Mus musculus: one gene and its partners. The protein of the gene in region 5 interacts with the protein of the main gene of each other region in a pairwise test. Links are inferred from orthologs where the notes say so. Each region holds a gene or a part of one and is shown on either strand. Other genes may lie near its edges.

Region 1 (3,242 bases), on a different chromosome or scaffold from region 5:
TTAAACGTGTAGGTTACCATGCTCGGTCTTTAAGGTAGTTCTATGCAAATTTTAATTAATCTTTTGTATGAAATAGAAGTTTCATGAAATTTTCCATTTGTGGTATCGCACCAGTATGAAAAGGTTTTGGATTTCGGAATATGATGAATTTTGGAGTTTTAAAAGGAACACCCAACCTTCTGTATTTACCCTAGACTATTATGTCTGTACTCTGGCTCTGTTTTGTTTGAGAGAGAATCTCACTGTAGAGTCCTGGCTGCCCTGGAACTCACTTTGTAGATTAGTATGGCCTTTAACTCCAGTTGCCTCTGGCTTCTGAGTTCTGGGATTATATGGGGTTAAAGACGTATCCCTCTTGTTCCACTTGGTTTTTGTTGTTGGTGGTTTGTTTATTTAGCTTTTTTTTTTTCAGTTTTTCTCCCTCAATACAGCTTTTCTCTATGTATCCTTGGCTGTCCTAGACCTCACTCTGTAGACCAGGCTGTCCTTGAACTCAGAAATCTGCCTGCCTCTACCTCCTGAGTGCTGGGATTAAAGGCACGTGCCACCACCACCTGGCTCTCTTGCTCCATTTGTAACCCACTGACTATACAATGAGTCCCCATGTCAATAAAACCAAGACAAAACAAAAACCTAGCTTCAGACTGCGTATATATGATTTATATAAACCATGCATGACTTAATTCCGTGTAATTTGTCATTTCTCTCCTGAACCCCAGACTGTTTGAGTGATCCCTTCCTTCCATCCGTCCTGGTCTCTCGCTCCTCATTTCCTGGTTATGTCTGCTGACTTTTGCTAGGGATTTAGGGAGCCAATGCAGCAAACTTGTAATGGTAAAAGGATCATTGCTAGGGGCAAAATGACTCATTTTAATTTCAGTGAGAGACTCTGTCTCAAAGAACTATGGTGGAATGGCTAAAGCCTCCATGTGCTCCTGAGTGTGTGCAGTGGCATAACACACAGAGAGGTACTAAGAGAACTACTGTTAACTGAGGAGCAACTCTATGCCCTCGTGGTGTGTACAGCTCATTAGACCTCACAGTTCGTGGGTGCTCTGCTGACCGTACCCTCTTCCCCTCCTGTCCCTCACATCTCTCTCTGTACTGTCTCTCTGTATGGTATGCTAGAGTTTATTTATTTACTTAAATTGATACAGTCTTGCTGTTGTGATGTCCAGTCTGTCTTGAGCTCAAGTTAGCGCCTGCCTCCCGTCTTCTGAGACCACAGCCTGGCTCAAGGTTGCTAGTAATTGGAACAACGGTAGCACATAGTGTATTGCAGGCTCTGTTTTACAATTTATTGTTTATTCCTCACTCTAGTCCTTCCAGGCAGGTCCTGTTATGAACCTCATTCTACAGACTAGGAAACTGGGGCAGGGAGCATTTAGGTGACTTATCTGAGGTTAGATAGTTGCTTAGTGCTGGGACTGAGGTTTGAGCCAGTGTATTTGGCTCAGCTTGTCCACATGCCCATACAGAAACCAGGCAACCATGAAACCAGAAAGCAAAAAGCTGTGTAGCATTGTGAGTGACCTTTGTGGGCCCAGGAAGGTGAGGGCAAGAGCTGATAACATTGAGAGACCAACAGGTCTGAGAAGAGGGGATGCCAACTAGACCAAGTGTGCCACTTCTTCACAGATCACCAAGGTCTCTGCACTCTGAGCTCCTTGGAGCCCTGCTCTCCAGCCTCACTGCCTGAGTCCTGTATTGTCTCTGTTCCATTCCCCCAGAGGCTCTGGTCCTGGCTCTCCATCCACCTCCATGGCCCTTGCCCTGCCCAGGCTTCTTCTCCCCTCGCTTTTCCTGAATATTCTCTCTATATTGTGAGTCTGCCTGGGGGTTGTGTTAGGAGACTTAGATGTCTGAGCCGGGGGTGGGAGGTGTCTCTGGGGAACAGTGCCTGGCTGAGTGTCTGCTAATAACTGTACTGCAATGGCTATTCTACAGTGGAGTCGTGTGAAGATTACGTGAATGTTCCTGAGAGTGAGGAGAGCGCAGAGGCGTCTCTGGGTAGGTGACTCTGCACTCCATGCATGGCCCATAGCCTCTCCCTACCCTCTGCATGGCCTGCCCTTCACACCACTGTCCCTGCTGGTCTGTCCCCACAGATGGGAGCCGGGAGTATGTGAATGTGTCCCCAGAGCAGCAGCCAGTGACCAGGGCTGAGCTGGGTGAGTACCAAGGTGTAAGGGGGCAGAGGCTGGGGAGCAGCCTTGAGTAGAGAGTCTGTAGGCTGAACGGCAGTCTCCCTCTGTTTTTCCCTCTCAGCCTCTGTGAACTCCCAGGAGGTGGAAGACGAAGGAGAAGAGGAAGGGGTGGATGGAGAGGAAGCTCCTGACTATGAGAATCTGCAGGAGCTTAACTGAAAGCCTAGTGAGTGGTCTCTGTCCCCGCCCCCACCTTGGGCCTTCTCTCCAGGACCCCCCTCCTGCCTATCCCCAGTGGTTAGGCACATTCTTTGTGGCTCTGGATACCCGGGTGGCTTCATGACTGTCCTCCCTGTCTCCCCTGCCCTGCTGTGTTTCAGCTGCAGCTGTCTGTCCTGAAACTGGACTTGCTGGGGTGTCGCTAAGAGGATCCCATTTGACCTCTGCCTTGCCACAGCCTGAGAATCTTCCCCTAACTTATTGTCACTTTGGGGTCCAGTCTGTGTCCCCAATATTCTGTACCTTCTGATAAAGCCTGAGAATGAATCTGGTTCCAGCCAGACCATGTCATGGAATAAAGGCCATGTGACATAAAGTCGTCGTTGTCTTCTTTTTGTTGTTGCTGGTGTTGTTGGTTTGTTTGTTTGTTTAACTGGGACAGGGTCTTGCTATGTTGATCAGGCTGGTCTTGAACCTGTGGGTGATCATCCTGCCTCTGTCTTCCTCGTGCTAGGATTACAGGTGCATACTATAATGTATAGCTTTCAACAGCTCTGTGGGTTTTGGGGTCCTGGAAAGCTGGGTGGTAGTAACCATGGGTTGAGGACAACTTTTTCTTTGTGGGATGTTTGTTAAATGTGTGTATAGTATACATGACCTTTGGATCTAGGTGTGTGTGTGTGTGTGTGTGTGTGTGTGTGTGTGTGTGTGTGTGTACATACAAGTCTGCAGTCAGAGCATCCAGATGGCTGTCTTTCTGTCTGTGGGTCTCCCTCCTCTACAGGGGTCCTACCAACCTCTCGACAGTCTTGGTTAAGGACTGTAAGTGACAACAGACAACGACTTGGACACAGCCATGTTCTGAATGAGGCCTAT
Region 2 (4,049 bases), on a different chromosome or scaffold from region 5:
CTTAGTGCTAGTGGGGAGATGTGTCATCTCTGTGGGAGCAGGAAGGCTGTATACGCCCCCACCAGAGCAGCTTGAGAGAACCCACTGTCCTACAGAGTCAGCTACCTCCTAAGGGCTCAGTCGTCCTCTGGGGAGACTGAGTGCGTCTTTTCCCTACGATGTTAGCACTGGTAATTGTTAATTAGCTCCAATGGTTTCTCTGGAGCACAGGTTCCTTAGGGAGGTGGGGTGAGACAGGCAATCTGGATGGGATGTTCTTGCCTCAGGACCCTCCCCAACTTCTGGGATACATCAGTAGGGAGTGCTACTGTAGGGGGTCCCTCCTCCTTTGTACCCCAGCGGGGGGGGGGGGGGGAAGGAAGGAAGGGGAGGGGTATGAATGGTAAGAGGCTCAGCAAGGCTTCTAGCCCCGAGGGTTATCTTGGGATGGGACATGGGACAGTGAAATGCTGGCTAGGACAAAGATGTGCAGGATGTGAGGCCTTTCTTCCTGGCTCCCCTTTCTCCGGTCTCCAGCTGTGTTTCAGTTTTCTTAGAGGCCTCAGGGCTGTCCTCTTATGCCTTCATAAAGGAGCCTTCAAGGCAACATGGGGATGGGGGGGGGAGAGATGCTGTTTGTGTGGTGTGCGGCGAGTCTGAGGGCAGGAGAGAGAAAACAAAACACCTCCAGCGTCTGGGTTCCAGAACGCTCAAATCTGAGGTATCCCAGAAAGTCTTCTTGAAGGGAAAAGGAGGAGTGGAAAGGAAAAAGGATGTATTAGAAGGGTGTGTGTGTGTGTGTGTGTGTGAGGGGGTTGCTAGCAGTAAAACGGTGGAGTGTGAATAATGGCGTGGGCGGGGTTCGGAGAGGGATAACGGAACACCTGAGGTGGAGCGTGGCTTGTGGGGGCGTCTGGACCTGGGTGAGCAGAGGGCCTGTCTGTGCAAGAGTCCCGCCGTGGAATGTGTAGGAGTTAGGAGCGCAGGGCCAGCGCGGAAATTAGGGGTACGCAGTGGGGGGCCCGTGCCCCCCTCCCAGGCTCGCGTGTCCGGGTGACAGTTGGGAAGGGTCCAAAGACGTGCTCCGCCATCGAAGCCAGCAGCCCTGGCGGCCCTAGGCGTAGGGTCTCTGACTGGGAGCCGGTGAACTGTTGAGGGGGCGGCGAGGAGCCTGGGGGCGGGGCTGTCGCCGGGAGGAGGTGGCTCCCACGGGCCCGGGGCGGACCCAGCAGAGGGCGGGTTTGAAAGCGCTCGGGCGGGCGCGGGAAGCGCTGGCCAAGCGCGCAGATTTCGTCGCCGGAGGTGTCCTTCTCCAGCAGGTGCTCGTAGGGCTTGGGTGGGACATGTTGGGGACTCCGGGGTAGAGAGTGGAGTGTCCGGCTTGCCAGGAGGGAAAAGGAGGCCCGGTCTGCCAGCTCCGAGGCCGCGACAGGGACTTTGGGGTGCGGCCCCCACGCGGCGCGTGCAGAGCAGCGCCAGCACGTGGCGCGCATGGGCCTGGCTCTGGGTAGGGGGACTCTCCTTTTGTGGGGACCAGGGCGGAGCTGGGCCCAAGACAGCCTGGCTTCTGGGCCTGGAAGCGACTGTCGCTGTGTTGACTTCCGCAGAGGATCGGCGTGTGGGTAGTTCAATGCTACAGTCCTGTGTGAACTAGAGGGAGGGGTTGTGTTGCCTTCTGCCCCGAGGCAGGAGGATGGGGAATGCGGGAATACAAATGGACGTGAAGGGAGCTAGCTGGCCATTTACAGACTAAACTCCTGTTCCTGGCCTCCCTTTCCTGGGCGAGTCCTCATTTACTCTACGCGGAGAGTGAACGTGTGACAAGATAAAGGACTGACGCGCACACCCAGGCTTCCTTTGGATGAAGGCTCTCTCCACCCCTGCACCTTATACCCCATTCGGGTCCTCTTGCCAAGCCTGAGCCAACCCCCTCTTCTCCATTAACCCTCCTTCCGTCCTGTTCCTCTTGTCCTGCTTGTGTGACCTTTGCATACAATAATATATGCGTGGTGGAATGGTTGTGAGTTGTCATGACTCTGAAACTAATGTTATGTGAAAGAATGGCCTGAATCTCCCACTTGTTTTAACCCTTTAATTGGAGCACTGTTGCCTTCCTGGAAGCCTACACGAATAGCTGAGGAGCCTTGTTAATTTTGCCTTCCCCACTTGAGAAGGAATCTAGAATGATCGGTACATTGAGTATTGATGCTGTCACCCCCATTCACCAGCTCTGCGGGCTTTCTCAAGTGATGGAGCCTCTTTAAACCTCAATCGCCCTAACTGTTTAGTAGAAACGGGGCAGCTGGAAGAGGGGCATCCTCAGATTTCAAGAGAAGATTCCGATGTAGCAGAAACTAGGCTGAGAAACTGAGCTATGTGAGAGGACCCTTAGGACGCAGGAAGGCCTCAGATGGGCGATAGCTTTCAGGGCCTCTCCATCTCGGCAGGTCAAGGCATGGCTGAAATGATACCAGAGGCCCTGAACTGCTATCAGATCTCTACTGGGACAAAAGTAAAGAAAGCCCCTAAGCAGCAAATGGAATGTTTGGATGTGGGTGGAACCCGAGAGGTGGGAATTTCTGCAAGGGGAGAAGTGATGTGTGTGTGTGTGTGTGTGTGTGTGTGTGTGTGTGTGTGTGTGTATATGTATGTGTATACTTGTCCAAGCCTAAGCCAGTTTTATGATGGAAGAGTTAGCCTCCCTCTGGCTTGTGGCTGTATTCACTTTTGCTGGTGCATGGGAGAGGTGTGGGGTGCTCGGTGGAGAATTAGCTATGTTTTGATGGGGTCCCTTCCCTACTATCTAATAGAAACCTGAGTCCTCAGGCTCCCCGCAGCCGCAGCAGAACCCTCTTGTCCTAGATAAATAGCAGTGCTACTGTTTGCTGCTGCTCTGTCCCCAGTGCCTAGGAGGATGCCTGGCGGACCCACAGAGACCCTCAGCAAATAGTCCTTAACCAACAGCAGGAGCCTTCTGCCTCCTTCTGGAGGTGTGTGGCTTTGCTGTCCAGTACTGAGGGATTTGGCCCGTCTGGGTTTCACCCACAGCAGAATAGAAAAGCGGCTATAGGGCCTCAGGGTGACCAGCTGTGACGCCTGTCTGGGTGGGCGGGGACTGAAGTTCTAGCTGCACCTGAGAGCTGACCTGGCTGCCACAGGCTTAGATCCCCTGCTGAGCCGGTTGCTTGGGCTGCTGTCTTATCTCCCAGCTACAGGGTGGCCCTTTATCTCTCCCAGCTTCGCTGGTACTTTTAGCTTCTGCAGCTTCTTAGCTTGTGAGACCCCCGCTGAATGGGGGCCCCTTGAGGCCTGAGGGATTCTCTCCCGATAAGCCTTGGCCAACTTTTCCACTCTGGACCCTCACCTAGGACCCAACCTCCTGCCTGAGCCTGAGCCAGGACCCCTTCCTGGGGAACGCCCAGGTACCTTTGGCTCTCACCGTCCTGCCAACATCGAGTCTATAAATTTGGTGAGTGATGAGATGGGGATCTAGAGCAGCTTGCCCTAGACAAAGAAATAGCAGTCTGATGGGTGGGGTGTCCCTTGAATATGCTTCTTCCTTACAGGACTAGCCCACTGGTGCTGTTATCTCCTCTTTGAGAGTGAGGCACAGGGCAGCATGTCAAGGGTTTGGTTAGGAGCTCTGGGAGCACGATGCTAGCTTTCCAAATTTCCCTTCAAAGCCACTGTCAGACACGGGAAGAGGATAGTTAGTGGCCTTGGACTGAGAAAGGAACTGGGGGTGGGGGGGGGAAGAAAGGAACATTCTGGAACTGGAGGTCAAGGAAAGGAACTTGCTGTGGAGAAGTCTGTGTCCCTCCCACAGTTATGAAATATATTCCTGGAGAACTCAGGAAGCCCCTAGGCAGCAGCTGGAAAGGCGTAGAGGCTGGCTCCAGCAGAGGCTGGCTCCAGCAGAGGCTGGCTCCAGCAGAGGCTGGAGGGAGTCCCGATTACTCTAGGAAGCAGTCTGCGAAGGGAAGGCCCTCCCTGCCACAGTCTTGATTGGGTGATGGGGTGGGGGCACCCAGGAGGGGAGAGTGCAGGCTCATGGCAGGCCTCAGGAGACC
Region 3 (3,500 bases), about 98 Mb from region 5:
CATTCCCTCATTTCTTGTCATTCTTTGTCTCTGCTTCCTGCGCGTCCCCTTCCTTCCTTCACCCAGGCATCTGCAGTGTCTCCCGTGCAACCTGCAGGTAGCCAGATGCACCAGAAACACTTACTGGGTGGAAGAAAGGGAAGGCGAGGCCTTCAAGCTGAGAGAGGATGTTGTCCCAGATATTTTTAGAGTGATTTTTAACAAAGCGGAGCGTTTCAGATGAAAGTTTAACGAGAAAACATCTCCGCAGCATCATGTTTCAGGCTCCCTGATCAGCTGGGCTTTCAGAAAGGTTGGAAAGAATGCAGGATTGAAAACAAGGCCTGTCCATCTAAGGTCAACCGGGCGATCCTGCTCGGCAATGTTGCCTGCCCACCCTCTGACTGAAAGCTGGGCAGACTGGGGCCTTGCCATCTCCTCCTCCATGATCTCCAAATATATCCTAAACTACAGCCTCGATGCCTTGCCTCTAGGCTCCTTCAGTCACCGAGGGCTCTGGAATCCCAGCTCCCATGAGTCTTTGAGCAGCTTCACCGGAAAAGTGATTTGGTTGTTTGGGTTGGTTTGGGGTTCTCCTGGACACAGAAGATGAGGAGTGTGAAGACTTCTGCCTCCTTTACGAAGTCGGGGAGACAGGGCTAGGGCAACGCTTTTCTTTCTGAGCTGCCTCACGGTCTCCGTCCATGTCACTGGACGTGAGCACACACACACACTCAATTGAGACGTTTGCCCTGTGGAGGGCTGAGACAAGCAAGGGGCCACTGGAAGACAGGCCCGCCCAAGTAGCTAGTGGAGCATACCCGAATACCCAGAAAGAGGGTGGTCTGATAACTGCAGGGGTACTTGGAGGGGATATGCAGACCAAGGTAGTGAGACCACGTGACCAAGGAGGGCACGCTCATCATTCTAAGAAAAGGGAAGTTTTTCCCCCTCCAAGACAATAAATCAGGAGCCAGCGAGGGTAGTATACTGAGCCCAGCAGGCTAACTGGATAGGACTCATCGTTAACTCTTGCACCCCGAACCTCCTCCCCCACCCCAGGTGACTGGGGTGTGACTGACCCTGGCCCAAGCATGCCATCTCTCGCTCTGCTCTTCCACATCTCTCCCATGAGGGCTGAGAGCAGACCACACTTCATTAAACCTCACAGCATGTTGCAGCTGCTCTGAGCACTGGCCTCACTGCTGGCCTCCTGCAGGGACAGCTCTGGTTTTCCCTTCTGGCACAGGGGTGGTGGTTGGAACATCTGGAATGTATTAGAGGTGAGGCCAGGGTGGAGGCTGGTGGCCCAGCCCTGCCTGGTAGGTACCTCCTTCACAGAGAATCTCCCCAAGACAGAGCTGATAATCTCTCATTCCCTCTCCTCTTCAGATCTCTCGTCTGCTCCATCCACCCGGGATACCTGGCATTTGAAGAGAGCCATCGCTTGAGAGTCTACGGATGACTTTCCGCTGTGACACAGGAGAGTCTCTTTGCTGCATGGACACAGTGTCTATTGGCACTACTGCTTTCTGATTTATTTTCTCTCTTTGAGCCGGGTCTTGCCCCGCTCCGCTGTCATGATGGCCCAATCCAAAGCCAACGGCTCACACTACGCACTGACGGCCATCGGCCTGGGGATGCTGGTCCTCGGGGTCATCATGGCCATGTGGAACCTGGTTCCTGGTTTCAGCCCTGCGGATAAGCCAACGTCTCAGGGCAACAAGACAGAGGGAGGTGGTGGCATCCTCAAGAGCAAGACGTTTTCAGTGGCGTACGTGCTGGTCGGGGCTGGCATGATGCTGCTGCTGCTAGCCATCTGCCTGAGCATCCGGGACAAAAGGAGGATGCGGCAGAGTGAGGAGCTGGCTCGAATTCAGCAGCAGGCAGGAACCGTGCCCCACTCCCAAGAAGAAGACAGGTAAGACCCAAGTGGCCGCTCCCTCCATACTTGTACACAGAGTCATGGAGAGAGTACTTTGCTCCACGAGTCTGTATTTCCACTCTCCTCATATCATTTTTACAAATACCCTTGTGCTTACTAGATGCAGGCTTCCCAAATCCCGTGGCTAAGATGGATTATCAGATGTAGCACAGAAACTGGTGGGGCCGAGGGTCATGGGGCTCTAGGTTTCTTGTTTGTCTCTCTGTCCCAGGTGCTATCTACTTTGTAGATACAAAGTATCTACTTTGATTTTAAAAGGTCAAGGCACAAAATTTCGCTTAGCCCAAAATATCAGGAATGTATTTAAATGATAGATAGTAGATAGAGGCATATATCATAAGAGTTGGCGTCTCCCTTACGGTTCATTTCATTGCTGTGATGAAAGCACTCTGACAAACGCAACTTAGGGGAGAAAGGATTTATTTAGCTCACAATTGCAGGTCAGGGTCTGTCATTTTGGGGGGAGTCAAGAAGGCAGAGCCCCCACTGTCAAGAACAGAGAGTGATGAGTTAATGTATACAGACAGCCCTGCACTCGGCTCTGTGCCTCCTTTTCATCCAGTCATGAAGTGCTGCCACCCATATTCAGTTCCCACCTCCACTGACATAGTCAAGACCACGCCCTGCACACCCAGACGCAGGCGTTCTCAGAGGCCTGTCTCTCGAGTGACGCTAAATCAGTGGATCTCCATCCCTTCTGCAAATCTCTATCTTCAAAAGTACTTATATTACAATTCATAACAGCAGCAAAATTACAGTTATGGGAATAATTTTATAGCTGGGGAACCATATTAAACATGGGGAGCTGTATTAAGGGGTCGCAGCATGAGGAAGGTTGAGACCCACTGCTCTAGCGTGTGTCAAGCGGACAAGCATAGGCAGTCAGCACAGCATCTGACCCTAGATGTTCTTCTCATTGCTCTGACCAAATACGCAGAGTCGGCTTAAGGATGGAAGGGTTTATTCCGTCTCTCAGTTTGAGGCTGGGGTCATTATGGATGGGGAGGCGTGGCCACAGGAGCCTGGGGTAGCAGCTGGTTACATCATGTGGGAACTCAGGAAGCAGAGAGGGATGGATGCTGGTGTTCAGGTCCCTGTCTTCTTTTCCCGCTTCATTCAGACCAAGCCCATAAATGATGTTGTCCACATTTAAGTCAGAGTGGATCTATTCTACTCCGTTAACCCTCTCTGAGAACACGCCTGTCCTCCACCTGCCTGGCTTTGGACTCAATGGGGCCACAGGGAATGAACACATGACAACCACAAGGAAATCTGGGATTGAGTGGGTCATGCACACTCCAATGGAGAGGGACCAGCAACAGTCAGGAAACTCACCACATTAGGGGGTCTCTGTGGGTGAGTAGCCTTAGGCTGCAGTCATGGGGCTGAAACTGCACCCAGTACTTTCTGCTCCTACTGGTCGACCCTAGACCAGGAAGAAGGCCTTGCCATCCCTGAGTCTGGGACATTGGCTTTTTTTTTTTGGTTTTTCGAGACAGGGTTTCTCTGTGTAGCCCTGGCTGTCCTGGAACTCACTCTGTGGACCAGGCTGGTCTCAAACTCAGAAATTTGCCTG
Region 4 (4,147 bases), on a different chromosome or scaffold from region 5:
CTCACTGAGCCCAGACGGGAGGAAGGCAGGGACCTGCAGGGTCTTCATCAGTGTGGCTCCACAGGCCCGCATTGCCATCCGCGCCCTGGCCAGTGATATGGGCACTGCTTCTGAGGGGACCAATGCCAACTATGTCTCGGTGAGGCCACGAGGATGGGGACAAAAAGGGGGTAATCTTTTGATACGATTCTGGAGAGCTGTCTCTAGGAAGGAGGGAGGGAGTGTTGGCATTAGGGAACACTTTTAGCTTATTTTTCATCCAAAACTTCAAAATTATTGGAAAGAATGGGAAGGAGGGTTTCTGCCACTCACTCACTCACCAGGGAATGCTTGTGGCTCTACCCACAAGAAGGAAGAGAGAAGGCCTTCCCTGGGAGTCCATTGCCTGTTGACCCAGCGTGGAAGCATCGTGTTTGTGTCTGGTGTTTTGTTTGTTTTCAGAAGAGCATAGGTAGGGTTGCGATTCAGTATGCTCTACAAGGCACCAGAGCACCTCAGACTTAGTCTTGAGCAGGATCCTAGCTCTTGTACCTGGTTGTGTGTTCTGGGGAGTTTCTTGGGTAGAACCGAGTGTCCCTCATGTGGGCTCCTTTAAGAAACAAAAATGACTCTGAGTAGCCAGGAGTTTATAAATAATGATCACTCATGGCCTGTTCTGGCTACTTGCTTCTCCACAGATCAGGGACATCCACAGTCTGAGGACCACAACATTTTGGGGGCAGCAGGTGCTCTACTGGGAGTCCGAAGGCAGCGAGGCTGAACTGGAGTTTAGCCCTGGCTTCCTGGAGGCACATGCCAGTCTCCAGGGCGAGTATTGGACCATCTCACCTAGGACATCGGAACAGGACGACAGCCTGGCTCTGTCCTAGGTTTCTCTCCAACAGCCGGGGAGTATGCAACTTTAGCCTCTTTAGAAGTTCTAATGCCTGCTAGCCTTAGGGAACCTCTTTTAGTGACCTTTTCCAGGTGCAGAAGGGCTGGGACTGGGAGGTGGAGATCAGAAAAACAGTCCCAGCCCCCAGTGGTTAATAAAGGATACAGGATACCAGACTGGAGTTTTCCTCCCATAACCTGCCGCCCATTACAAGCCTAGCTCGAAAGCTCATTCTACTGCAAGGCGGAGTTCCTTGGAGGTCTGAACAAGGCCTTTGCCACTTCTGGATGACGTCTTCCAATCTTGCAAAGAGGAAAGGCCAGACCGGATCCAGCGCACCTGCTGGGTGGCAAAGGGCGTCTGACAGTCTGTAAACACGCCCCTTATGCTATACTCCATTTCCTCCCGCCCTCCCCCCGCCCCCCGGCTATGGCCTGCGGGCCCGCCCCTATGCTAATCACCACCTCTCCCACAAGGCCGCGCGCGGGTGGACACGTCTCTTTGTGCGCGCCTGGGGCTGCGCGCAGCGTTTAGCATGAGCGGCTCGGGCGCCGCCGGAGCGGCCGCGGGCCCAGCCCCGCCGGCACAGGAAGAGGGCATGACTTGGTGGTACCGCTGGCTGTGCCGCCTGGCGGGAGTGCTAGGAGCGGTGTGTGAGTATCGGGTCCAGGGAGCGGGCGTCCCCGGGGTTGCCATGGCTCCCGGCCTCAGGCCTGCAGTCCACCGCCGGAACTCGATGGCTTACTGCCCAGTTGTTGCGGCCCTGATCAGAGGAAATGAGACTCACAGAGGACGCGCGTCTGCCCCTTCCCGGCCCTGCCTCGGCCTGGTGATGCTTACCTGGGCTGGGGTGGGACTGCCAAGTTCCCAGCCTTTGGACAAAACTTGTTCATAAATGGGGGGCAGCTCTCCACAGGCTGGGAAGTTTGCTTGGGGGTCAGATGGTGCCAGGAGAAGAGTGGCCCCTCAGGGTGGCTGGGCAGTGATCGGAGTTCTCCTCGGGTTCCTACTGTCCACACTCTCCTAATGCTTCTCGTCGGCCTAGTATCCTCCACACCAGCAAGCTTTCTCTGCTCTTGTAAAGAGGAAGGCAGGTCCGCCTCTTCAGTGCAGCTATGTTGCTGGCCTTCCAAACAGTGTGTTTGCTAAATCCTGGGTGTCCCTTTCATTGTGAATTCCTAGAAGTCCAGGTGAGTGCTGGGAAGGCCCGAGGATCCATTGCCTACCTGGTACCAGAGCAGGAACTGTGTGGGTAGGGGAAGACTCATCCGTTTTCCTGTCTGGAGGAATACCTTGGAGCCCCATCTGTCCAGACGATCTTGCTAGTCAGATGGATAGGGTAGAGTTAGGTATGTGCTGCCCTGGTAAGGCAGCTCTGGAAGAAGTCTGCTGAGGTTGATCAAATCCTCTTCAGTGCAGTTAGCTAGTTCAAGGTGGTATTAAGGGGTGAGGGACAAGGAAGGGCCTGACCATGACCTGTAGGCGGCTATCCTCCCTCCGTCATGGTGATTCAGTCAGTGACCAGGTGATTTCTAGATTAGATTGACTTTGGAAATCCCACCCAGTCCCATACTTCCTGTGGGTACCTGTGCTACTCCCGAAGGCCTCCCTAATCCTCCTGCCGAGCCAAGCTATCAGTGAAACCTTACTGGAGACCTGTGGCCGTAGCTTAAATTGTTCCCTGAACCTGATCATTGGGATCAGGGGGGTGGACATCAAGGTTTTGAATACTGGCATATCATAGGAGGGAAGGATATCGTGTATTTGCTTTAAAAACTCAATAGGGGTTTGGCAGGAGCTATGGCTTAGCCGGTCACTTTGACATAGGGCTATCCTCTCTTGGAATGGAGGATATTCTAAGGGGCTTATTATTTATTGGAGGGATTTATTCTGGTCCCAAAGACCTCTGTAGACAGAGGAAGAAAGGATTATAGGGACATCTCCTTTATATGGAAGACATGAGCATTATTAGCACCCCAAGTGAGTGGATGTATTTGAGTCCTTGGTTGTCAAAGGACTCCTGTTCGTCTGAGTTGCGACCTGGTCCTCCCAAAGGTGGCTCTGTAGGACAGCATGGTGGAGTAGCTCTGTAGATGGAATGCTGAGGACAGGAGTGCAGGCCTTTCAGGTGAGACCAGGCCTAGCTCCACACAGGCAGGGGGCCGACAGTCTTTCACTTCTGTGGCCCTGGAAGCTTTGCTGCGTGAATGAGTGCTGCGTTGAGTTCTTTATTAGAGGAGACTTTGTGACATAGAAGCTGTGCCACTCATTTGGTCCATTCTCCTGCATCAGTTCCCATTTGGATAATGTAACACAGGAAAGTGGAAAATGGTGGAATTCCAGGCCCAGTGGAGGGATCCGGTGACCCAGGCCTGCTGCAAGTTTAATAAGTTGGTGCTAATTGCAGCCTCAGAGGGCCAACACTCTGCCCTCCCTTAGCTTGTGTCCTGCCAGAATGGGCAGCTCTCAGCAATGTCCTCAGAGGCTCCCAGAGTTCCTGGTGAGGGACTTCTTGGTGAAGCCTGGGTGGCTGGGGCAGACTGTAACCTGAAGGTGCAGTCAGAGGGGAGGGGCCTCGCTGGGCTTCCACACTGGAGAAGAGCACACACACTGTCCCCTCTTGGTGTCCTGCTATTCAGGTATTGGGGCACAACCTGCTCATGTGTAGGAGAGAAAAATGAATTAGGAAAGCAACATGTTCAGGGTCACGTGGCTAATGTTTTAGATGGGATTGTCATTTGAATCTTCCCTGGTGTATCATAAGAGGCATCCCTGTCCTGACCCAAATTCAAGATGTGGCCAGACGTAGTGAAACATGCTTGGAAGTCCCCAGGAGGCTGAGAGAGAGAGAGCAAGATAGTTTGAGGTCAGCTTGAGCTATAGAGCAGGACTCTGCCTCAAAGGAAAACCAAACCAAACACCCTCACCAAGCAAGCATAAAGAACAACCCCAAATAAGTCGGAGTGGCCTTTACCAAGTTAGAAGACATTTTTGAGTAGTTTACCTGGTGGCTGCAGACTGATAGGCTAAGATTCCCACTGAAGTCGGAACAGGCCTGACTTTTTAATTTTTTAATTTTTATTTTTTAAAGATTTATTTATTTTATATATGTGAGTACACTGTCTTCAGGCACGCCAGAAGAGGGCATCAGAACCCATCATAGTGGTTGTGAGCCACCATGTGGTTGCTGGGAATTGAACTTAGGACCTCTGGAAGAGCAGTCAGTGCTCTTAAACCTCTGAGCCATCTCTCCAGCCCCCCAGGCCCTACTAC
Region 5 (4,261 bases):
AACATGGATGTGAGGACACGTGGATTTCAAAATATTGTGTCTCCTCCCTTCAAGACCCTCCAGGCTTCCCCCGTGTCCATCCTTGCTTACCTGCTCTCCAGCCCCACGACATACACCTTCTTCTTCTTGCGGCTTTCTTGAGCTGCTCTCTTGTTACGAATCTTCCTCCGCACTCGTTTCAGAACTTGTTCCTCCACCTAAGAGAAGATGGGGGAAAGGTCACCCACAGTATGTTATTATATGCCTGTATGTTATACCTATATATACTACATAGGTATGTTGGAAGACAGCTAACCTTCTTCCCAATCAAATACTCTCCACAGCCTCTCTGTCAGTAGGCATTTACCTTCTGTGTGAACACCAAGGAGCAGATATTCAACACTAGAAAGCCAGACTTTTTATTATTTTTTATGTGTTTGGGTGTTTTGCCTGCATGTCTGTATAACGTATATGTATAATGGGTGTGCCTAGTGCCCACATAGGCTAGAAGAGGGTGTCAGATCTCCTCGGATTGTAAGCTGCCATGTGGGAGCTGGGACTTGAACTCATGCCCCATGGAAAAGCAGAAAGTACTCTAAACCACGGAATCATCTTTCCAGTCTCTAATTAATTTTAAAAATTCCACTTAAGCTAGGTGTGGTTGTACATGCCTGTAGTATCAGCACTTGGGAGGCAGAAGAAGGAAGTCAGGATTTCAAGACCATCCTTGGCTAGGGTAGTTTTTGAGGACAGACTGAGCTACATAAGACCATGTCTCAAAACTAACAACAACAACATCTACCCTTATCCTAAAGCAACATCAATCTTCTTATAATTTCCATTCATTTGATTTTCCTAGAGTCTCTAAAGTGATATAGAATATATCCTTATCTTAAGGTACTTTCAACTTTTTTTCTTTCAGAAACTAAAACTGAATAAAGTTAACTCTTACATTCTCTGATAATGCCTGTCAAACTTGGACACTAGCCAAGAGTGACATCATACACTTGTAATCTAGTCCGAGGGAGTTAGAAGCAGGAGAATCAGGAATTCAAAGGCATTCTTTCCCTACTACATAGTTTGAGGCCAGCCCAGCCTGGGTTTACAAGACCCTGCCTTAACAACAAGGGCCAGAGGGCGTGGCTCAGCAGTGAGCATTGATGAACATTCATGAGGTACTGTACTCCAATCCCAGTGGGTAGGGGAATTATGGCATGCTCTGGCCAGTGTAAAGGAAGACAAGACAGTTACTATCCTAGGGACAGAACCACTATTGATAATTTCCAAGTTCCGTTTCCTTTCCTCCCAATATATTGCTCATTCATCTTGTAATAGTGATAGAGGGATAGGGGATGGTTTCTCACATAGCCCAAGCTTGCCTGAACTCAACATGAAGCTAAGTCTGTCCGTTAATGCTGATCCACCTGCCCCAAATAAGTAAATATCTACATATCAGAAGTAAGACAATATTAAAAAGGCAAATGACATTAAAAAAATTTGCCACAAAAACTAGATGCAGTATTCTTGTAATCCCAGCACGTGGGAAGTGACTTTGAACTTGTGAAGACCTTCCTGCTCCTGCCTCCAGAGTGCTAGGGTTATAGAGGGGTGCACCATCATGTCCAGCTTTGACGATTGTTGATGTTGTTAGACTGAGTCAGCCTCTCAAGCATTTCTACCACTGAGTATGATTCGAGGTCCCAAGATAACAACGGAAGCTATCAAGGCCCTTCACTTTCAAGGCTCTGTACTAAAGTTACATTTAAAACATTATCTTTTGACGTGGGTGTGTGTTTGGAGATGAGAGAACTTGTAGGAGTTGGTTTGTCCTTTTGCAAGTGATTGATATGAAACAAACTGAGCTTGCCTACTTGGGTTACCAACCCCCTCCAGCCTTTGCTCTACCAACAGGAGCCTTACCTTAGTGAGAGGAAGGGTTGAGGGCAGAGTGAGCCCCTCCTTCTCCAAGAGCTTCTTCTCTTCCTCGGTCAGTATCAGCCTAGACATCTCCTAAGGATGGAGGAAATAGTGAAGAGAGCAGAGTTGCATGGAGCTCTCAGAGCAGTATGGGGGATCTTGGCTGCTGCAAAGTGAGGTAATCCTGAAAAAAAAAATCAAGTCCAGCACCTGTTCCGCTGCTCTTTCCTCCCCTGGCAGTGGAGTCACGTGGAACCCCTCCTTTTCGAAGCTCTCAGTATCTGCAAAAGGGAAAGTAGAACCAGCTAGCCCAGTGAGCTCTCTCCTCCCCCACAACTTATCATTTCACACTCACCTAGATCTATGGAGACGTGCTCCTGTGGAAGGGAGTAGTTGTGATCATGGAGAATGGAAGAGCTGGAAGAGCCGAGAACATCCCGCGATACTGAGGGACTGAGCAGAGAGCTCAGTAAATCCTCTACCTCCCAGTCGCTCAGTTCTTGCACGGAGTTCTATCAAATTCAAAGGCCTTGATTTATTTCCGTACCTTGGGTCTCGCGGACATCCCTAGCTTCCCCCACTGGGAACACCCACCCACCCACCTCGGAAGGTGACAGCTCTAAGTCCAGCGGAGCCTTCACGTCCGGCTCAGTCGCAGCCCACAAATCTCCGCTTTCCTCTAGCAGGAAGCCCAGCAGGTCCTGATCACCGGGATCCAAAGCTAGCAGATCCTGACCACCAGGATCCATTTGGGATATCTATGGATAGAAATCCCTCCGCGCAGATCCAACCTCCGAACCTCAGGCACGACCCCTCAGTCTGTCCAGTCGGCTCGACTTAACCTCCGTCACTCCGGGACAAGGGCCTAGCTGTCACTCTAAACCGCACCCGTCTCTCAGCTTCTGTATTCCTCAGCTTCCAACACAACGGAAGTGGTGCACATAGCCCCGTGGAATCCTGGGACTTGGAGTTCTCTCCAACTCGGAAGTGGCTCCTGGGCTGCGCCACGTCCCGGGGGCTATGCAAATTATGGGGACGTCCTTTCAAGCTTCCCACGCCCCAGGGCGGGGATTCTGAGGATCCTTGTCCGCCTTCGCCTCGAGCTATTAAAAAAAAAAACTTAAGCGTTTAAAAGGGAACTCCAGCTTAGTTCGGGCGTTCTCTCCAGAGCTCTGCACGCTCGCTTCCTGCTGGGGAGGGGCGGCCAGGCTTCGCGGGCGCCCGAGCATCGAGAACTACGGCCAGAGCAGCTTCCTGCAGTCTCCGCTACCATAGAGCGCGGGCCCAGGGCGCCGCCGGCGGGTGGGGGACGTTTCCAGGACGGAAGTGGCCGAGAGTGTGTCGAAGGGAGGGCGAGGCCGGAGCCCCAAAAGCGACCGGGAGAAGGAGCGGGTAGCGGGCCCAGGGCGGGGCGCAGAGCCGGGCAGCGCAGGTAGGCCGGACGGGCTGGGCCGAGCTTCTAGGTGGGGCTGCGGGATCGGGCCAGCCCGGGAAGCGGCGGGCGGGGCCCCCAATCCTCCTGCATATCCTGTGTCTGGTTAGGGAGGTCAGGGTCCAGTATGTTTCGGTTTGGATTTGGAATTAAGCTGGCCTTGTTGCGAGAAGCAGGCCCTTTCGCGGGGGTAGACAGTTCTCTGTCTCGGCTAGGTTTGGGGACGGGTAGAAATGGGGTGGCAGTGAGGCACTGGGTGGCAGTGAGGCACTGGGCGGGGATGGGCTTTGGTATTAGCCGATAGTGAGTAAGTGGTTAGGAAAACTTGGGGTGAGTTTGGGTTAGGTGCCGTCGCGTTTAGGAAGCAAGGATCCCTTTAGAAGTTAAGAAGGTGAACTACATTCTAAACATTTGCTGCACGAGTCAAGTCTGTTTCGCATATGTGACATTTAAACTGAGGTCATTATTTTCTGCAATGACCAGCATTAAGTCAGAGTACAGGATCGGGTTAAGGATCAACAGGAATTGGCTTAGATGCCCGTTTTAGGGATTAAAGGCCGGTGTCATGGTCAGTATTAAGAATAAACAGTGAAAAGGTTAATTAAGAACCAAGTTACAAATGAGCTTTAGAACTGCAGGGTGGGGTGGGAGGGAGTATTTAGGGTTAAATTTGGGGGATTTGGGCCTAAAAATAAAAGCCAGATTAGTATGGGTGTCTTCTGGGAAAGGGGTGAATGTCAATGTATAGGGAAATAGGAAATAAAGTCAGCATTAATGTTAGGAATTGGTGATAGCGTTAGGGGTTGAGGCTGCAGCTACAGCTGAGCTGGTAAAATGTAAGAAGTTGGCAGGAAGTAGCTACCTTTGTTTTGTAGTGAGTTCTCTTATTCCTGTGCAGTTACAGAGGCCTCTTTTACCCAAAGAAGTGCTAGA
Region 6 (4,250 bases), on a different chromosome or scaffold from region 5:
GGATGAGGTGGGAGACAAGCATTGCCTTAGGCTAGACCTTGCACCCAACTAGAACACACAAAAAAGCCCCTACCCTCCCCACCCCCAGCAAACACCGATAAGGCAATCAGCCAAAACTCCTGGTAAGAGCTGCTCTAAAACCAATACCCTTAGGGATCCATCCAGAAGGGGTTGCCTTCTTCAGCTTGTATGGAATAGTAAACAAAGAGCAGAAAGGCAGCAAAGACCAGGAAGAGTAACAGCTGGCCCCAGAGTGGGACCTGTCGATCCTGGCCCAGAGCAGCAGCAGGGGCCTGCTTCTCTGGCCGAATGGCACGTCGGGTAAGCCATGAAGAGGGAGAAGATGAAGAGGAGGACACAGAAGAGGTGGAGGATGTAGGATAATATGATAAGCCCAGAGAGCTCCTGGAGACATTGGAAATGGGGCGGTAGTGTGCGATGCTCTGGTAGGCACTGTCTTGGCCATAGATGAGGCGCTCCCTGTGGCAAAAGAAGGCAACAGGTAGGCAGGAGAGTCTGAGACTCGAATTTGTCCCTGTCCCTACATATGTTCACTACTCACCTATCCTTGCCTTCCTCTTCTAAAGAAGAGAAAATGTCATCACGCACCTGCAGAATAATTAGGATTAGAAATGGGGAAGAATGGTTTTCCTTAAATGTCTCTGGCTAGCCTGCTCTAATCATATCATAGGGACCAGAAAATTGCCCCCCCCTCCCCCATTCTGAGTATGTGGAGCCTCTTTATCTGTGGGGCCTTGCTGCTCAGTTACTAACCCTGTTGACTTTGTTCCAGCATCCTTTTATTCCCCTGGATTCTCAGGAGGCTTAAATCTATATCGTAGATTAATTACTAGAGTGCAGGAGCTGTTACATATTCTCTGATCAAAAAAGTTTGTGGGCTGAAGAGGTGGTTCACTGGTTAAGAGCACATATTATTCTTCCTAGGTACCTGAGGTCAATTTCCAGCACACACATCAGGCAGTTTACAACTACCTGTAGCTCTAGCTCTAGTGGGAATATGACAATTCTCACCTCTGTAGGTGCCAGCACTCATGCATACTACCCACAGACATGTATGTGAGAATTCTGGAATTTTGGCTTTTTTAAGAAACACAGAAATATTGTAAGAATATGTTTTTGTTTTAATCTTAGGTGTGGAATATGGGGCTGCTTCACAGCAGCTAACTATGAGTTGCCTCATGCTTTTAGCAAAGGTGTGTTTCTGTGAGTTTCAGATAGTTTCTACAATTGTGTGATATTTGGAATTCTGGGAATTTTTCATTACTGGGGGTGAAGTGGGGGGGGGGAAATACCCACAAACTAACAAAAATTGGCCACACATATGTATAATTAAAGTAATTAAATCTTTTAAAAAAGCCAAAACCCCAAAACATTTGTTATGTGCTGCTGGAGATGAAACCATAGGTAAATACTCTTCTGCTGAGCATCCCCAAATCCAATAGTTTTGAAGGTTCCAACATAGAATTTTTAACCCGACAGCTGTATGCTGACCCTAACCAGATTTGAAAGCCTAAGATCCACTCTCTGCACCTATCCAAACCTAGAATTCCCTAAGGCTGCACCCCAGGTATACCTACCAGCCAACTCACCTGGTGATGGAAGGTATCAGCATCTACAAGTGAGGTCCCCGGCTGGCGGAAGCTCTTGGACATGCCCACAGACTCAGGCTCCCCGTATGTCTTGGTGGTCAAATAACTCTCCTCATAGTAGTCATCATTATAGTCTTGGGGAGGAAAACAGTGGTAGAGGAAAAAGTGGTGCCCCTTAACTGGCCTCCTCTTCTCCCTCCCCAGCCTGTGTGTGCTGTGTCAGTTTCTCCCCTCTGAAGCCACTGAGAACTGGTACAAGGAGGTGAGGGAGGTCTGGGGTTTCCCTGTGCCCAAATCCCGGAAGCATGGGATAAAAACATCAGTGCCCACCCTATACCTGCCTTACCCTTGCTCTGGTAAAGTAAGGCGTCTTCTTTTTTGGGCAGATCATACATGTCTGAGTCCACGGCGGCTGAATCCAAGTCTGCATGTGAAGGAGGAGGGACAGGACCATTCGATCTCCAGCCTTCCCCCTACTCCCTCAATAGCTTCGGCCACACCCTCCCTCCCTAAGACGTGTGCCCCAAGCTGCTCTTTGGGGCTCTGCAGTTAAGGGCTCACCTGAGAACTGATAGGAGAATGAAGAAGATGACGAGTTGGGGGGTAAGAGTCTCCTTCTCTGGGTCTCGTACTCGAAGATTTTCTTTTCGTAGAGCTTGCGAGTGGAACCTGCCCAGACACAGGGTGCGAAGCGGTCAGAGGGCGTGAGCCGAGCACCCCAAGAGCACAAGGGAACACGGGGAGGGGACTTGAGGGGAGGGAGAGGTGGGGAGAACGCTCAGGGAGGAGCGCGGGAAAGCAGTGGACCAAGAGAGGTTCTGAGCGCCACCGGGTGCAGCATACCCACAATAGGCCCATGAGGGATGTTGTACTGGCGTAGCACTGCGGCCAGCTCAGTATCGGACAAAACCGCATAGTCGTCCATGGCAGACAAGGCCGGCACCTGGAAGCGGTGTTGAACGCCAGGGGCGGCCGGGGCCTACAGACAGGGCCCAAGAAACCAACCGCTCGGAGCCTAGAAGAAGAAGCGCCAGAGCCTCAAGAGCGGCTGTGGGCGCGTCACGCCGCCGTCACATTTGCGTCACAGCCGCGGCTACGCAGGTTGCGCGCGCTCCTCAGGGCAGGCCCAAACTAGCCAGAACGGCCGGTGCAGACCGGTCTAGCTGAGGGAACAGGCTGGGCTGGCAAACAGAAACGTAACGCTTGTGAGAGATTGGCTCGAACAGGGAGAAGGCGGAGCTTTCAGAACTCGTGCGGCAGCGGTTGAGACTTCCTTTGAGAGCTAGGCCGCCGAGGGGCGGAGCTGGCTGACCTCACTAGAGGATGCTTTAGAGCGCAACTTACTAGGGATGAGGCAAGTGATTTGACCAAAACCGGCTTGTGAGATTTCCCAACCTGTGAGATCTCACATACTTTTGTTACTGGCTTCATTCCTGATTTTATTCCCCCGGTGTTCCAGTGCCTAGGATTCTCAGCCACAGTGTGATCCACAGCAGTGTAAAGCAATCCTGAGAGCGAACCCTTCCAGAGCGCCTAACGCTGCTGAGAGCTCTTTGTATGCTGTCAGACAGGGCTCTCATCACCTAACATAGACACCCACAGAGCCCTGGCACTCCCTACCCATCTCCTTTGGTCTTCCCAGTCTCCATGACCCTGGCCTGCACACCTGCACAGGCCCATTCCCACCGTCGTCTTCTCTAATGCCTAGTTCCATTCGCGAGGAAATGGGGCCAGCACTGGGCCAAGTGGCCACCAGCACTACAGGATCAAGCAGCTTTCCAAAGGTCCAGGGTATGCCAATGCACACAATCAGAGGGCGCCTGCCTGCCTGCCTGCCTGCCTGCCCTGTGATGCATGTAGATCTGTACACCTTGTACCTGCCATACTCACTGTTCTACCTTGGGCCCTGAGGAATTCTGGGGGGAGAGGTCTTCTCTGGCTGAGTAGAATAGTCTCTAAGCTTGGTGTGACCTTAGAGACCTAGACAAGTGTACAAAGCCTAGAGCACTATTTCTCAACCTCCTTAATGCTGCAATCCTTTAATACAGTTCCTCATGTTGTGGTGACTCCCCACCCATAAAATTATTGTGTTGTACTTCATAAATGTAATTTCAATATTGCTATAAATTAAAATATAAATATTTGTTATGCAGGATATCTGATATGTGAGATCCAAAGGGATAGCGACCCCAGAGGTTCTGAACTGCTGGCCTAGAGGCAAACCATGGGAATTGATGGAGGCTTACTAAGGATCTGGATCAGAGAAAGGTTGCCTTGAAGAGTGACCATGACCATTATATTCTACACAAAGTCATGTGGATCTAGGTAGGCTGCCCTTTATTGGAGAGATCTAGAAGAAGGGGTACGCGTAGAAAAAGTGTGTAGGATGCCTGATCTCTTAAATCAGTGCTTCTCAACCTTCCTAATGCTGTTGTGGTGATTCCCAATCACAAAATATTTTTGTTGCTACTTTATAATGGTAATTTTTGCTACTTTATGAGTCATAATGTAAATATTTTTGGAGACAAGGTTTGCCAGAGGGGTTGTAACCCACAGGTTGTCTTAAGTGATAGTGATAGTGAGTACTTTGCTCAGTTCTAGGTTGACCTGATGACACTTTAGTGAAGTTCACAGGCCACT
Region 7 (4,162 bases), on a different chromosome or scaffold from region 5:
GAACCAGATTTTCTAAAAGGGACTCTGTAGCTTTAACAGCTAACATGACTTTCTATTAGAGGTTATTGCCTTGTCAAAGAATGATTTTTAAAAATAAAACAATTTTGAAAAAGGGAGAGATTTCAAAGAAAAACTTGAATTTCCTCTGTATCTTGGAAAACATACAATGTCACTATGATGGACTAATACTTCTAAAAGTTCACAGTGGAGATGATAGGTAGAACTCAGGGGTAGATCAACTACCTGAAATGTGAGGCCTTGGGTTTGATCCCTCATTCCTCAAAACAAAACCACAAACAACCCGGGACAATGATACAGGTCTGTACTCTGAACGATGAGGCAGGTTGCAAGTTCAAGGTCTACCTGGATTACAGAGTGAGTTCAAGGTTAATATCTGGGTAACCTGTGTAGACTTTGTTTCAAAAACAACAACAACAACAACAAAAACCACTGGAGATAGAGGACAGAGTGAAGGCCTCTCATGTCCAAGGACCTTGGTTCAATTTCCAGTGCTGGACAAAACAGCAAACCTCAACAGTTCACCATGGCCCGAGCTGAATCACATGACTTTAAATGAGTACATGTTCTTTGATCCACTGGGTGGATCCTACTGAGAAGACGCTGTGTTTGAGTCTGACCTAAGTCATCTACGTATGCTTGCAGGTGTAAAACCAACCAACATACAGTTTGCTCTGTGGTTCTGATTCACAATAGTATGGATTCCCCCTACCTCCACTTGAAGTCTATCGAACTTTTGGTATCATGTGTTTTCATGCTCTTTCCAGAAATAACACCATCTTAATTATAGGCAAATCCAAGGCAATCTATTCTAATTAATTTGGCAAAGTATTTCTTTCACATGAACAACTGATGTTTCTCATCCGAGAGGTCACATGCTTGAAGAGTTATTGTTGGAACAGTGTGTGCTCTTAAAGCCTGGGAAAACCACATCCTGTATTTCAAGGATGCGATACCAACTATGAGCCAGGAAAACATCTTTATCAAGTGGGCATTAGGAGATTATCTTTCATTTATCCTTCCGGGGCTTTAGCTAGGATTGCCTTGACATTTTTGCAGTGACATTTTAAAAATGGAGTTGTCAAGTCTACCACAGAGCTGAGGGTTAGGAAACAGAACCTTTAAAAGCTGAGAGTGCTCCCTCAGTCCAGGGAGTCTGGCGCCTCCGAATAAAGAACCCAGCTCTTCTCTATTGTATTGCTTCCTCTTCTGTTGCCCATAGACATCACTTTGTCACCCATCAGAGCTTGGCTCCCCAGCAATTTTGCCAGTCCCTCCAAGCTTCAGCTGTCACTGGCCAATGGGAGAGACGCAAGCCCCGCCTCCTCCTTCCTGGGGCTGTGCCCCGAGCATGCGCAGTGGGCGTGCTTGTGCCGCCGCCCATCAGCTGAGACCGGCTGCGCCAGGCAGTGGGCCCCCGGGTGACAGCGGCTGGAGGTGGCCGAGGAAGCCGGCGAGGTCAGGGTAAGAGGAGACTGCAGAGGCGGGGGAGAGGGGGGCGGGAGGGACACCTCAGAACTGCAGCTCGCTAGTGGTTGCTTTGGGGTGCGCAGAGCGGGGCTCCCCAGGGCGCAGGGCCGGCGCCTCCCTCTCGGGCTCCCACGCCCCGCTCCGGACTCCGGGACGCGACGTGCGAGCACCGGGGCGCGCGGCAATGGAGCCTTGGGGACCGGATACTACCGCCAGATCCTGGCAGGCTACGACCGTGTTCCCATTCTCTGTCAACTTCTCCTCCGAAGAACAGAAAGGGAAACGCGATGGGCCCTGGTCATCTGGCCACAGGTTCGTTCCGCGGCCCAGGGCCTTTGCTTGGCTGTTGGCCTTACTCACACAAGCTAACTTTCTTTGACCTACCTTGTGCTCGTTTCAATTGATTTATGCAAGACACATAACAAGGTAACAAGGTATTTCGAGAATTCGCATATGTGTTTTCTAGGTTAAATTCAGACCAAAAAAAAAAAAAAAGCTTGGACGAGGGTGGGAAGAGGAAGGAAGCTTTACAGTCAAATGCTAATTTTTCCTTATAGCTGTTAAAATTTTGCTTGCATTTTATATGCATATATCAATTTTTGATTGCGTCAGATCTCGTATTTTGTCAGGAATTATTATTTACAAGTTTTCCACAATCAGGAAAATAAAAGGAATTAACTGTGAAACACTGGTTTGGTCCTGTTGGAGGTAGGCATTTCTTTTAGGTGTACTCTGAGCCGCAGTGAACAGAGATTGATAACACTGTTAAATTGTGCCTTGTGGTGCCGATGGGTCTTCGGCTTTGCAAGCTGCTTTCGAAGTTGGCCCCCAGGCTTGTGACTAGTTAAGAACGAGGCTGTAGTTTCCCAGTGTCTGGGGAAGTTAATAGAACACAGTATTAACTCACTGACCTCTGGGTTCTTTTCCTTCAGCTAGCTCACTTCTTATGCTGCTCCTGATTAACAGTCGTTTCTAATTCTGATTATTATCCCAAGTTCATCCATACGCTGCTGGTGGAAAATTATGAATAATTATGTTGAGCTATATGCCACTAAATGGTGTGTGCACAAGGCCCTGGTTCAGTCCCCAGTACTGCAGGGAAATATTACCTCTATGTCTACTAGTACTGCTAGATAAAACTCCCACAGTTAAGTCTGTGTGGATTTTTCTCTGGTTCAGTGTAACTTGAAATATTAATGTGTGAAACTGTGGAGGAAAAAAAATCTTGGTTAATTAAGCTGAAACCAAACAGTGTAGCGTTTGGATTGATGAAGGAGCTGGGCAAAGATGCACTTGTGGACCGAATACTCATATGGAAGATTGAGCACCCTCATGATTGATTGTCTCCTATGATTCCTCTCCTGTTTGTTTTAGGAATTGAAAACAAAGAGTGTGAATGCTCCCATCTTCTAAGTATGATGCATCGCTTGAAGTAGAAGTTACATTGATAGAGACTTCTCATTTCAGACCTGGCATCTTTAGTGTGTGATAACACCTTACTGAGACAAAGAGCTAGTCCTCAAAGGGGCTGGGTGTGTATCATGGAAAGGGCCATCTACAGATAGAAAGGGACACTGAGAAAAGCCCAGGTAGCAATAAGCCTGAAACAGTATTTTAGAAATGTTTATATTTACTCTTAGGCTGGGCATGTGTTCATAGGAAATCGGTACACTTGTTCATTCAGACTTACAACATTTATTCAGGATCTACTTTGTAGCCAAGTACTTAGAGAATAGACTAAGTCCAAGATTTACACTCCCCCACACACCACACATACACACACACACAAACACACACATACACACAGCACACACACACACCATACACACACTCCACACGTACACACCACACCCCACACACACATATACACCACACACGCAATACACTGCACACACATACCACACACACTCACACACCATACACACACATCATACACACCACACACACACACACACACACACACACACACACACACACACACAAAAATTAAAACCTGGGGAACAAAGGAGGAAACTCATATTTTATGCTGGGCTTCATGATTAAGAAAGTGAAACTGACCATTTGATTTGAGCAGGCTAAATTTTAAGCCAGTGTCTGCTCAGAGGAAGTCTTCAAGATTCTACAGTATGTCCATTAGTAACTACAGGGTAGTGTTTTACATTCAAGACTCTGTATCAAAATCCCCTTTGTTCATTTTTAAATTGCCCTTTCCACACAGTCTTGAGACAGCGCTCACTATAGGTGTTACTGTTTGACTCTCCCGTCTCCTCTTTCACCTTAGTGTTTATCTTCATAAAAAGATAATTACTGAGCTGTTGAGTTGAACCCTGCCCAGTAGTACTTTCTGTGGGGGATGAAGGGAATATGTGAGCTGTCCCAGCTGCTGGCCACTGGCCACATACAGTTTCTTAGCACTTGAAAGGTGGCCGAGGTGGCCTTCTTCTACCTTAGTTCATTTTGATAGTTGTGTGCAGGCAGTGCAGGTGCACATGAGGAGTGATGTAATTATTTTGAGCAAAGACACTAGGACACAAATGCTTTGAGTATTGCAGCTCAAGCTAGGCAATGCAGATGGTTATAGAGTACAAACATTTTATAAGCATAGAGTTAATTAGCTCACATGTAAAAACAGACTTCAGAGCCATTTGTCAATAACTGTCTATAAACATAAGTG

The links.
Region 1: the proteins of Creb3 (region 5) and Lat interact in a two-hybrid assay, tested with the Homo sapiens proteins (2 studies listed by BioGRID and IntAct). The two-hybrid records come from large-scale screens. The link is inferred for Mus musculus from reciprocal best matches to the Homo sapiens genes CREB3 and LAT.
Region 2: the proteins of Creb3 (region 5) and Slc29a1 interact in a two-hybrid assay, tested with the Homo sapiens proteins (2 studies listed by BioGRID and IntAct). The two-hybrid records come from large-scale screens. The link is inferred for Mus musculus from reciprocal best matches to the Homo sapiens genes CREB3 and SLC29A1.
Region 3: the proteins of Creb3 (region 5) and Tmem51 interact in a two-hybrid assay, tested with the Homo sapiens proteins (2 studies listed by BioGRID and IntAct). The two-hybrid records come from large-scale screens. The link is inferred for Mus musculus from reciprocal best matches to the Homo sapiens genes CREB3 and TMEM51.
Region 4: the proteins of Creb3 (region 5) and Cacfd1 interact in a two-hybrid assay, tested with the Homo sapiens proteins (2 studies listed by BioGRID and IntAct). The two-hybrid records come from large-scale screens. The link is inferred for Mus musculus from reciprocal best matches to the Homo sapiens genes CREB3 and CACFD1.
Region 6: the proteins of Creb3 (region 5) and Emd interact in binary tests that used the Homo sapiens proteins (3 or more experiments, as listed by UniProt). The two-hybrid records come from large-scale screens. The link is inferred for Mus musculus from reciprocal best matches to the Homo sapiens genes CREB3 and EMD.
Region 7: the proteins of Creb3 (region 5) and Stx7 interact in a two-hybrid assay, tested with the Homo sapiens proteins (2 studies listed by BioGRID and IntAct). The two-hybrid records come from large-scale screens. The link is inferred for Mus musculus from reciprocal best matches to the Homo sapiens genes CREB3 and STX7.

Annotation. Positions count from the first base shown.
Region 1 is NC_000073.6:126,363,327-126,366,568, reverse strand, and holds the end of Lat (linker for activation of T-cells family member 1 precursor), read left to right. Parts: intron 1-1,730; coding exon of another isoform or gene 1,731-1,807; exon of another isoform or gene 1,808-1,894; intron 1,895-1,947; coding exon 1,948-2,010; intron 2,011-2,108; coding exon 2,109-2,171; intron 2,172-2,268; coding exon 2,269-2,366; 3' UTR 2,367-2,373; intron 2,374-2,527; 3' UTR 2,528-2,742; downstream 2,743-3,242. UniProt on the Homo sapiens protein: Required for TCR (T-cell antigen receptor)- and pre-TCR-mediated signaling, both in mature T-cells and during their development.
Region 2 is NC_000083.6:45,592,731-45,596,779, reverse strand, and holds the start of Slc29a1 (equilibrative nucleoside transporter 1), read left to right. Parts: upstream 1-1,249; 5' UTR 1,250-1,298; intron 1,299-1,533; exon of another isoform or gene 1,534-1,597; intron 1,598-1,696; exon of another isoform or gene 1,697-2,969; intron 2,970-3,130; exon of another isoform or gene 3,131-3,224; intron 3,225-3,347; 5' UTR 3,348-3,448; intron 3,449-3,842; exon of another isoform or gene 3,843-4,049. UniProt on the Homo sapiens protein: Uniporter involved in the facilitative transport of nucleosides and nucleobases, and contributes to maintaining their cellular homeostasis. Functions as a Na(+)-independent transporter.
Region 3 is NC_000070.6:142,035,805-142,039,304, reverse strand, and holds part of Tmem51 (transmembrane protein 51), read left to right. Parts: intron 1-1,371; 5' UTR 1,372-1,559; coding exon 1,560-1,900; intron 1,901-3,500.
Region 4 is NC_000068.7:27,008,579-27,012,725, forward strand, and holds the start of Cacfd1 (calcium channel flower homolog), read left to right. Parts: upstream 1-1,347; 5' UTR 1,348-1,409; coding exon 1,410-1,527; intron 1,528-4,147. Other genes in the region: Adamts13 (A disintegrin and metalloproteinase with thrombospondin motifs 13 isoform 1 preproprotein), read left to right, coding at 1-139, 678-869. UniProt on the Homo sapiens protein: Transmembrane protein which mediates synaptic endocytosis and fitness-based cell culling.
Region 5 is NC_000070.6:43,561,197-43,565,457, reverse strand, and holds the start of Creb3 (cyclic AMP-responsive element-binding protein 3), read right to left. Parts: upstream 2,801-4,261; 5' UTR 2,646-2,800; coding exon 2,499-2,645; intron 2,409-2,498; coding exon 2,252-2,408; intron 2,178-2,251; coding exon 2,107-2,177; intron 1,990-2,106; coding exon 1,900-1,989; intron 198-1,899; coding exon 91-197; intron 1-90. UniProt on the Homo sapiens protein: Endoplasmic reticulum (ER)-bound sequence-specific transcription factor that directly binds DNA and activates transcription. Plays a role in the unfolded protein response (UPR), promoting cell survival versus ER stress-induced apoptotic cell death.
Region 6 is NC_000086.7:74,253,237-74,257,486, reverse strand, and holds the start of Emd (emerin), read right to left. Parts: upstream 2,801-4,250; 5' UTR 2,536-2,800; coding exon 2,454-2,535; intron 2,280-2,453; coding exon 2,172-2,279; intron 2,035-2,171; coding exon 1,957-2,034; intron 1,745-1,956; coding exon 1,611-1,744; intron 610-1,610; coding exon 563-609; intron 481-562; coding exon 150-480; 3' UTR 1-149. UniProt on the Homo sapiens protein: Stabilizes and promotes the formation of a nuclear actin cortical network. Stimulates actin polymerization in vitro by binding and stabilizing the pointed end of growing filaments. Inhibits beta-catenin activity by preventing its accumulation in the nucleus.
Region 7 is NC_000076.6:24,147,927-24,152,088, forward strand, and holds the start of Stx7 (syntaxin-7), read left to right. Parts: upstream 1-1,362; 5' UTR 1,363-1,482; exon of another isoform or gene 1,483-1,800; intron 1,801-4,162. UniProt on the Homo sapiens protein: May be involved in protein trafficking from the plasma membrane to the early endosome (EE) as well as in homotypic fusion of endocytic organelles. Mediates the endocytic trafficking from early endosomes to late endosomes and lysosomes.